Arabidopsis thaliana: one gene and its partner. The protein of the gene in region 1 purifies or fractionates together with the protein of each later gene. This does not show direct contact. Each region holds a gene or a part of one and is shown on either strand. Other genes may lie near its edges. The genes, in order: KU80 and TAFII21.

Evidence for each region.
Region 2: the proteins of KU80 (region 1) and TAFII21 fractionate together in Arabidopsis thaliana (co-fractionation; one large-scale study listed by BioGRID). This does not show direct contact.

What each region holds. Positions count from the first base shown.
Region 1 is NC_003070.9:17,721,648-17,727,954, forward strand, and holds KU80 (Ku80 family protein), read left to right. Parts: upstream 1-1,734; 5' UTR 1,735-1,850; coding exon 1,851-1,865; intron 1,866-2,240; coding exon 2,241-2,333; intron 2,334-2,411; coding exon 2,412-2,463; intron 2,464-2,601; coding exon 2,602-2,733; intron 2,734-2,807; coding exon 2,808-3,211; intron 3,212-3,368; coding exon 3,369-3,655; intron 3,656-3,753; coding exon 3,754-3,949; intron 3,950-4,029; coding exon 4,030-4,236; intron 4,237-4,314; coding exon 4,315-4,482; intron 4,483-4,564; coding exon 4,565-4,858; intron 4,859-4,939; coding exon 4,940-5,070; coding exon of another isoform or gene 5,071-5,083; exon of another isoform or gene 5,084-5,148; coding exon 5,149-5,212; 3' UTR 5,213-5,596; downstream 5,597-6,307. Other genes in the region: AT1G48040 (Protein phosphatase 2C family protein), read right to left, coding at 1-51. UniProt on the Arabidopsis thaliana protein: Single-stranded DNA-dependent ATP-dependent helicase. Involved in DNA non-homologous end joining (NHEJ) required for double-strand break repair.
Region 2 is NC_003070.9:20,213,399-20,217,259, reverse strand, and holds TAFII21 (TATA binding protein associated factor 21kDa subunit), read left to right. Parts: upstream 1-1,994; 5' UTR 1,995-2,125; intron 2,126-2,374; 5' UTR 2,375-2,390; coding exon 2,391-2,651; intron 2,652-2,893; coding exon 2,894-3,184; 3' UTR 3,185-3,361; downstream 3,362-3,861. Other genes in the region: SPL2 (E3 Ubiquitin ligase family protein), read right to left, coding at 1-233, 318-437, 620-741, 833-994, 1,083-1,181, 1,409-1,780; RSH3 (RELA/SPOT homolog 3), read right to left, coding at 3,499-3,810.

The DNA of each region.
Region 1 (6,307 bases):
GTCAAGAACCCTGATCTCAGCTTCAGCAACCATTGTTTGACTCAAAATCATGACTTGGTTAATAATCAAATGGAGTAGATCCGATTGCGAATTTCACCGAAAGGCAAATCGACGAATAAATCAACGGGGTAAGAGGTGGTGCTTTGCTTGGACGCAATTGAAATTCGCCTAAAAGAATAAAGAAGACAGGGAATGGGGAATTAGGGTTTGGTTTCTGTGTTGGTTGTTTATTTGCATATTTCTTAATTGACCCATGCCTATATTTAATATAATTTATAAATTTTAATGTATTAAAATACTGTTTTAAAAATATTTATTTTACTAAAAAAGAGTTAATTTTTTAAGCCCAACTTCCATATACCATATTGGACAAGAAAGTGTAATAGATTCTTATATATTCTTTGTGATCTCTAGTTTTCTTATCTACTTTTTTTTGTATATTTAAATTCACATATTTCCCACATAACCGCAAATGTTACTTACAAATTCAATGATTCAGAAGATTCCAAAAATCTAACTGGAACATATATAAACTATAAAAAGACTGTTTTTAAATATTTAGTTTAAATTAAAAAGTTTTTTTCAACTTTTAATTTTCTAAGCCCAACTTCCATATGGGACTCACAAAAAAAAAAGGGAAAGGTCCAGTTTTATTTGAGAATATGTAATAAGTTCTTATACATTTTTTGTGATTTTAGTTCTTTTTTTTTTAATCTATTTTTTTTTGTATATCTGAAATTCAAAGTTCCAACCGAACTGCCTATGACGAACAAATTCAATGGCTTAGAAGATTCTAAAAATCCAACCGAAACATATATAAACGGTAAACATAAGACTATTTGATGTTTTAATAAATTGAAATTGATCTTACAAAAAGAAAATATTTAATTGTTGTTACATATCTATTGTTTTTAAAATGCAGAAATTATACCAAATTAAATAATAATATGAGTAAACAAAGTAGTAAACATATAATATATAATCTAACTGTTTTTTTTTAACGTTGAAAGTTCGCAACAACATTTTTAACTATTTGTATGTGTTTTGCATTTTTGAAGAAAAATCATTATTTGACGGCGAAATAAATTACATACGTGTATTCTTGGTTAAGAAACAAGACAAGTGTATACAAATATGTGTGTGGTGACGCGAGGTTGATGATTTTGAGCATTGGGCGTGACTTCACTGAAGTTGATGATTTGATATCCTTTGTGAATAATTGAATCTTGTTCGTTCTTCTAAATGTGGGTTGACTTTCTTTCTCAAAATGCTCTTTGTTCTCCCTTTATCCTCGACGATCTCAAGGTCGGGTCTTACCACATCTTTGCGACATAATTAATATAGGATGCCTACCGATCGGTACATGGAAAAATTCAAGTTTGGGATCCTACTAAAAAAAATATAGGATGCCTACTGAAAAAAATTAAAATATGATAATGTGTTTATGAGGTTTTAAAATGGAAAAATAATTAATATAGTGAAAATAATTTTTTGTAACTGTATTTCTAAACTTTAAATAAAAAGTAAAATTTAATTGTTATGTTTAGATTCAGAGGGATATATACTATATAAGATATGATTCATTACATACTTTATTAAAATACCCATTTTTGTTAAATCTACAGAGTCCATATTGGAAGTTGGACATATGGACTTTTTCTTAGATAGTTTAGCCCAATGGGCCTATCTCATTTTAAGGCCACGTTAGAGTCAGTCAGCCTATTTTCAAAAAAATAAAATAAAAATTCTTCGTCTTCTTCGTTTCACCATCTCTCTTTTTCTCATCATTCTTCTTCTTCTTCTTCTTCTTCTTCTTCTTCTTCACCTTCTTCTTCCAGCACAACTCCTCAATGGCACGAAATCGGGTATAATTTCTTCTAATCTTACTTCGTTACATATTAACCTTCGTTTTTTTTTCTTATAGGTTTCTTCAGAAATCAATTCAATGAAATTAATACCTTCTTCAGCTTCTGTTTGTTTTCCATCGATGTTTCTTTTTCTACTTAGTTTCGTGCATGTTATTCTACATTGCTGCATACCATTTCTTCTTTGATAATTCTGTTTATGCTGATTTTGACTTCGTTTTATGCTCAATTATGTTCTGGATATCTCATTGATTCATTTTTGGAACTGTTCTTGGAGTAATTTAGGGTTTTAATTTGTCATTTCATTTGAGAGAAATTAGTCCTGCTCGATTTTACTTTTAATTCGATGTGTGTGTGTGTGTTCATCGGAAGCAGGAGGGTTTGGTTTTGGTGCTCGATGTAGGTCCTGCGATGCGTAGTGTTCTCCCTGATGTTGAAAAGGCATGTTCAATGCTACTTCAGAAGAAGGTATACGATCTTTTTCTTCTGAAATTATTGTTCATGAATTTTGGATCTTTCCTTATTGGTTTTGGTTTGTTGTTGCAGTTGATTTACAACAAGTATGATGAAGTTGGAATTGTTGTCTTTGGAACTGAAGGTCTCTCTATCTATTCTTATTACTGATTAAAGTAGGAAGTTAGGAATCTATCCTCTTTAGTACTGCAATGGTTCTTTCTTGGAGTATTATCGGCTTGTTGATGTACTTTGATAATAATGTTTCATGTGACCTCTGCAGAAACTGGAAACGAGCTTGCTAGGGAGATAGGTGGATATGAGAATGTTACAGTTTTAAGGAATATCAGAGTTGTTGATGAATTAGCGGCAGAGCATGTGAAGCAGCTTCCTCGAGGAACTGTAGCTGGAGACTGTATCCTGCTAGCTAGTTTACCGCTTATTTTTACTGTTTCGCTACCATTTTCTTGGTTCTTTAACTGGCTTCAGTTCTTGATGCTTTAATTGTTGGGATGGATATGCTTATAAAGATGTATGGTAATGCACACAAGGGGAAAAAACGGATGTGTCTCATCACGAACGCAGCTTGTCCTACCAAAGATCCATTTGAAGGGACGAAAGATGATCAAGTCAGCACTATTGCTATGAAAATGGCTGCGGAGGGAATTAAGATGGAGAGCATTGTTATGAGGTCTAATTTAAGTGGTGATGCTCATGAGAGAGTAATAGAGGAGAATGATCATCTGTTGACTTTATTCTCCAGCAACGCGATTGCCAAAACAGTGAATGTTGATAGTCCACTCTCACTGCTTGGTTCCTTAAAGACCCGGAGGGTGGCTCCAGTTACTTTGTTCAGGGGTGACCTTGAAATTAACCCAACAATGAAGATTAAGGTAACGCTTTTTTGGTTGTGTCTTTTGCTTGTTGTGCAGAGTTTATAGATATCATCGAACTTGCTGTTCTTTGTTGTTATTCAGTACTTAAGTTCATTCACGTTTATATAATTGTTCGTGAAATTTTTTCTGAAAATAAGAATGTGAAATTTTGTAGGTGTGGGTTTATAAGAAAGTGGCTGAGGAGAGACTTCCCACTCTAAAAATGTATTCTGACAAAGCGCCTCCAACTGACAAGTTTGCCAAACATGAAGTAAAAGTTGATTATGATTACAAAGTTACTGCAGAATCTACTGAGGTTATTGCTCCAGAAGAAAGGATCAAGGGCTTTCGCTATGGACCTCAGGTTATTCCTATATCACCAGATCAGATAGAAACACTCAAGTTTAAAACTGACAAAGGCATGAAGCTTCTGGGATTTACTGAGGCGTCAAATATACTGCGGTAAACATAAAGACATATATCTATGTTTGCCTGTAAACTCTTGGTTGTTAAAGTTTGAGAGAATGCTGTTTTGTGTTTTTCTCTGCATGTCAATGAAGACATTATTACATGAAAGACGTGAATATAGTTGTTCCTGATCCAAGCAAAGAAAAATCTGTACTTGCCGTATCTGCTATTGCAAGAGAAATGAAAGAAACAAACAAGGTAGCAATTGTACGATGTGTCTGGAGAAATGGACAAGGCAATGTGGTTGTTGGGGTCCTGACTCCAAATGTGTCTGAAAGAGATGATACTGTAAGTTAATAGTGTTATCTTCTGAAAGGAAAATTTCTATCCGAATCTGACTATTTGATGATCATTTACCTTTTTCGCAGCCTGATTCGTTTTACTTCAATGTGCTACCTTTCGCCGAGGATGTCCGCGAGTTTCCATTTCCTTCTTTCAACAAGCTTCCTTCATCATGGAAGCCAGATGAACAACAACAAGCAGTAGCAGATAATTTGGTTAAGATGCTTGACCTTGCACCTTCTGCGGAAGAGGAAGTACTAAAGCCTGATCTTACTCCTAACCCGGTTTTGCAGGTAATACCAGTTTTATTCTGCTTTGTATAATTGTTGCAGGTAATTTGTCAACTCATACTGATGAAATATTTTTATCAGCGCTTTTATGAATACCTTGAGTTGAAATCGAAATCCACGGATGCTACTTTACCTCCAATGGATGGAACTTTCAAGAGACTTATGGAGCAGGACCCTGAACTCTCTTCCAACAATAAATCCATAATGGACACGTTTCGTGGAAGTTTTGAAGTCAAGGAGAATCCAAAGGTGTGTTCCCCTGAATCATCAGCTTTCAGAAAGGAACCTGAATGATCTCATTCATAACTCTTTGACATGACTTTCATTGCAGTTGAAGAAGGCTTCTAAGAGATTGTTGCGGGATAAACCATCGGGTTCAGATGATGAAGACAATCGCATGATTACTTATGACGCCAAAGAGAACAAAATTGATATAGTCGGAGATGCAAACCCAATTCAAGATTTTGAAGCCATGATATCCCGCAGAGATAAAACTGACTGGACCGAGAAAGCAATCACACAAATGAAAAACCTAATAATGAAGCTTGTAGAAAATTGTACCGACGAGGGTGACAAAGCATTGGAATGTGTACTCGCTCTTCGTAAAGGCTGCGTCTTGGAGCAGGTCTCTTCTATTTTCTCTATCTCGACTTTGTGCATTTTCTCTCAAAACTTTTTCATGGAGTCTTCTTAAATATGTGAGCAGGAGCCAAAGCAATTCAATGAGTTCTTGAACCATCTATTCAAGTTATGCCAAGAAAGAAACTTATCTCATCTTCTCGAACATTTCATGTCAAAGAAGATCACTTTGATTCCCAAATCCGAAGCAGCGGACAGGTTAGTTATATAAACCATCTTCTGTTTAATAACTAAATTGGTCTGATGAATGTTTTTGTTGGTCATTGCTTTAACCAGTGATATAGTAGACGAGAACGCTGGGGATTTCATCGTTAAACAAGAGTCAATGCTCGAGAGCTAACAAAGTCTTCGCTATAACTGATATTGTAACTGTGTTGTCCAAAACGGTACCGTTTTCACTTTTGATATCAAGAACGCTCAGGGAAATTTTTTACCTTCCATAACTAGTTTCAGAAACAACCCTTTTTGTTCGATAACCAGAAGTTTTATAGGAAAACTAATTTAAAAAGAAAAAACAATTTGACATGAGATTTCCCTTAGAGCATCTTCATTGGAGTATCTCAATGAGATCCCCAATCAAAAAAATAATAATTAAAAAATAAAAAGTATGAGAGAAGGAGAATTAAGTTTTTTTCTGCTAGAAACTTTGAAAAACTATTCTCATCCAATTTGGACAGCTGTCACAATACTATTACAGTAGAAACTCTATAAATTAATAATGTTGGGACCATAAAATTTTATTAATTTATAGTGATATTAATTTATCCTATAAATTAATATTTATTAATTTATCCTATAAGTTAATAAATATTAATTTATAGAAATATTTACTTAAAATACAATACTATATTTCTTTTAAAATATTTCTTAATTTAATTTTTTATATGCTTTGTTGTTTGCATATATAATTATGTTAGGTTTTTATTTTTCTTTGACTTCTTTAATTTATTTTTTGGCAATATATTGTGTCTTTATATCTACGATATTAACGTGAACGTAAACGTAAACATGAAGCTTAATCCAATTTTTCTTTACACAAATCTTAGCAATGTTTTTTCAAATAATGTTTTTTACAAAATCAACTATTACGGATCAAATACGCAAATAGTTATGTGAGTACAACATAGATCATACCAGTTGTATTTTAAAAAGAGTTATAATTGTAGTTTAAACAAAAACTTCATATAAAAATTAGTCTTAAAATATATACTTAAGATCTATGATTATTAATTTATAATATTATTGGGACTATAATTTTACATAGGGATTTCAAAAAAATTATTATCTTATTATCTTATCGATTTTGGTTAATTTTTACATTGGCCCGACTTAGGACCGGCAAAATTTATTAAGTTATCGTGTTTATTAATTTATCGAGTATTAATTTATAGAGTTTTTACTGTAGTTCAACTATTAAATAATAATTAATATATCT
Region 2 (3,861 bases), 2.5 Mb from region 1:
AAACTGGACACTTAGGGTTTAACTCTCGTTCCACGGTTGAAGCACATCGCCTGCAACATACTACATGTCCACAGGGAATAAACGCAGGTACTCTCCTTCTTGACACGCAGATCACACACAATTCTCCATCTGGGATTTCATCTGCATCTTCGGGTTCATCATCGACCACAGAATCGTTCGGTCTCTGTGGCAGTTCTCTCTGATGGTTCCATTGTTTCCATTTATTCCAGGTCCTGAAGATAAGACAGTTAAACAGATTTCAAATCGAAACATTGCCCAAATCTAAAACCAAATCTGATCTCTCACAACTCCAGTACCTGACAGCAGCATAGCTAAGGATGCCAACAGACACAATGCCCAAGATAACGCTGCCCAAGAATATAAAGTTGGTCTGTTCCATAAGGTCCTCAATCATCTTGTCCTTGGTCATCTCTGATCTGCAAAGATTATTCATAAAGATTTATATATGAACAGCAAATAGAGCCTTTCTGCAACAATGGACTAAATCTTGTCAAATGATCAACAGATTGAGAAAACATAAAGAAGAAGATGAAGTAATAATTTGAGCTAGAACGCAGGCAGATATATAAGAACGAAAAATATTCAGATAAAATCTCACAAGAAATAAGGAAGATCTTGGCACGATTTGATTTCAGGAACTCCATTATTAAAACTGTAGATGCCAACAGCTGTTATATCTTTCCCAGGTGGTAAAATCTTCTCTATATCAAGCAGACCAACCTTGGAAGAGAAAGGATTACAAAGTTAGCCAAGAACAAGTAACCATCAGTTCCTCAAAACCAGAAATTTCTTTGAATATATATATACTCACAGGATAATCGGGGTACAAAAAGGCTTGAAGAAACGAAGAATTAATAGGCTGCAAGCGATTATACACAGTGGTAAGCGGAAGAGGTTGCCTTGAGCCATCCATGTTAACAGCGACAAAACTAGAGTTCGATTGCTGATCCTTTCCAACAATGACAAATGGGACCTGCACAAAGCAAAGGATACACAAAACAAGTTTGATCATGGATACAGAGCCAAAGTTGAAAGCTCTGAAGCTGATAGAGAGACTTTACCGTTCTCGTAAAATCAGCACCGTGTTTGCGCAATGATCTCTCCAACATAAACCGGTGACCAGTGGACTGAAACAATCTCTTCCATCCACTATACACATACTGTCAACAACAAAATGATGACATTAGAAACATACATTTCCCTTCTGAGATCACACCAGTACCAACTTACATAATCCTAACTTAATCAATCACAATGAACACCTAATCATGAAGAAATCATCCAAACTCTTTAACCTAAGCCTTTGATAAGAACACAAAGCAAAATTAGGTCAATGTCAATTGCAATTTGAGGGAAACATAAACACTTAGGGTTTAGAGCAACGTACAGTTTGCGTTCTCTGAATGATAAGAGCTTTATCTCCAGTCTCCGGAGAGATTAACACGTTGTTGTTCTTGTAACCCTCATCACCGGAAATTTTCGGTTTGACGACTCCGCGAACCACAACGATTCGCTGATCATTGCTCTTCCTGTTATCGTTAGTCTCTGATTTGTCTTCAGAAGCCGGAAGCAGTGATCGGAGGTCGGAAATGGAGACTTCGGGTGCATCTTTGATCTTCTTCAACGCGGCGTTGGTAGAAGCATACTTGAGAGCAGAACCGACGGCGCTAACAGCTAAAGTCAGTCCGAGGATTGCGCCGTCGAAGGAGAGAGCGATGTCCGTCAATAGATTCAAGAGAGCACGCTCCGGCGAGGACATTGTGGTAATTTCGATTTCAACGTCGTAGACACGGTCACACGGACAAGTAAACGGAAGAGAAATGAGGCTATTATCGGTATTTAATATTATACATTCGACCGTCGTTCTAATTTGGGTCTTTAATGGGCCTATGCACGAGTGAAATACAAAATACTAGTAATAAATAGCGTTTTAGTTAAATTACATTTACACCCTCAACGTTACAGCAGATTTACAAACCAAAACCATAAATATCAGATCTAGAGTGGCAGAGATTAGTATTTCCCGATTCCTCGCCGCCGTTCATCAATCTCTCCGTCGTGTTTCTGCCACTAGCTCTCCACCAAACTTTCTCTCTCGCATTAGGTATTTATCGCCTCTTTATGGCATATAATCTTGTGTTTTGGAACTTATTGATGAAGCTAGGTTAGAATCTCCTTTGTCTTTCTTATCTCCGATTCGTGAAGCTCTAATTCTTATTTATTCGATTTATGTAATGTGTTGCTGTTACACGATGTTTGCTTGTGAGATTCGATTGAAACTTGTGTTGTTGCAACATCAATTCTGTATAAGAAAGGTTCTTAATTTGACTCTGTAGCTTTACTTTTTTTTTAGTTGTTTAGGGATAAACATGGCAGGAGAAGGTGAAGAAGATGTACCTAGAGATGCTAAGATTGTGAAATCTCTGCTTAAGTCGATGGGTGTAGAAGACTACGAGCCTCGTGTGATACATCAGTTTCTGGAGTTATGGTACCGGTATGTGGTCGAAGTGTTGACAGATGCTCAGGTTTACTCAGAGCATGCTAGCAAACCCAACATTGACTGTGATGATGTGAAGCTCGCTATTCAATCCAAAGTTAATTTCAGCTTCTCACAGCCTCCTCCAAGAGAGGTATGCATTGTTGACGATTCCATGTTTCTTCTTCTTCATTGTCTGAGAAGAGATGCGATATGATCGGTCATTTGGTATATGTGAATCATTAGGGAATTATCACTCTTACTTATGACTTATGAACTGTGTGTGACCCTCTTGCCTCATAAATTGTATCACTGAGAACCTCAAGTTTTTGTCTGTCACATCCATGCCTTTTGGTTCCTGAATCTTGAAGTTTCTGTTTTTGATGTTTGATTTAGGTTCTGCTTGAGCTTGCTGCAAGTAGGAACAAGATACCTCTGCCAAAATCGATAGCAGGACCCGGTGTTCCACTCCCACCTGAACAGGACACATTGCTGAGCCCAAATTATCAGCTCGTGATACCGAAGAAGTCGGTTTCAACAGAACCTGAAGAAACCGAGGACGATGAAGAAATGACAGATCCTGGACAGTCCTCTCAAGAACAACAACAGCAGCAACAACAAACCTCAGACCTTCCAAGCCAAACTCCTCAAAGGGTCTCTTTCCCACTCTCTAGACGACCCAAATAAGTACCCAAATAAGTAGATAGACCAAAAAATCTATAATATTTATGTATCAACAAGTAGAAATGTAACACAATCAAAAATTAATGACCAGAGCCAGTTTTTATGGACCAGATCCAGATGTGTGGTTTGAAGATTTAGAATGTAAGAGAATCAAATATTAATGACCAGAGTCAGTTTTTTAGAACATATAGGCATATCTTATATACACTGTTGTGTGGGAATCAACAATACCGAAGGTACAACAAATCTTCTGAAGCATTATACTATATATGCAACTATAGTATATATACATGAACAAAGGTAATTAAGAGAATCAGTTAGCTTCCCCAGCCAACCATGGTACCAGTAGCTGCACGGTGAGGCCGTGAAAACGCAAGCCCTCGATCATACATCCGCTGAATTTCCTCTCTGTATTCAGTCAGAGACTTGTCAGGTATGGCTGGAGTCAGCTCCACCACATCTCCCATCTTCAGCTTGCATTTCAGATCACTTACAGGTGTCTGGTTAAGTCTTGGCCTTAGCTCTTCCTTTGCCGGGATGCTGTACATTGACCATCTCGAGCTCCCTGGTCCTGCTCTGCGTAACAGGTCCGACACGGTAGAATTCTCGGGAAACTCTTGCACAGTCATCTGCATTTTCGGGTTTATCAAATTATAACTCCAAGCAAAGAAACATCCTCA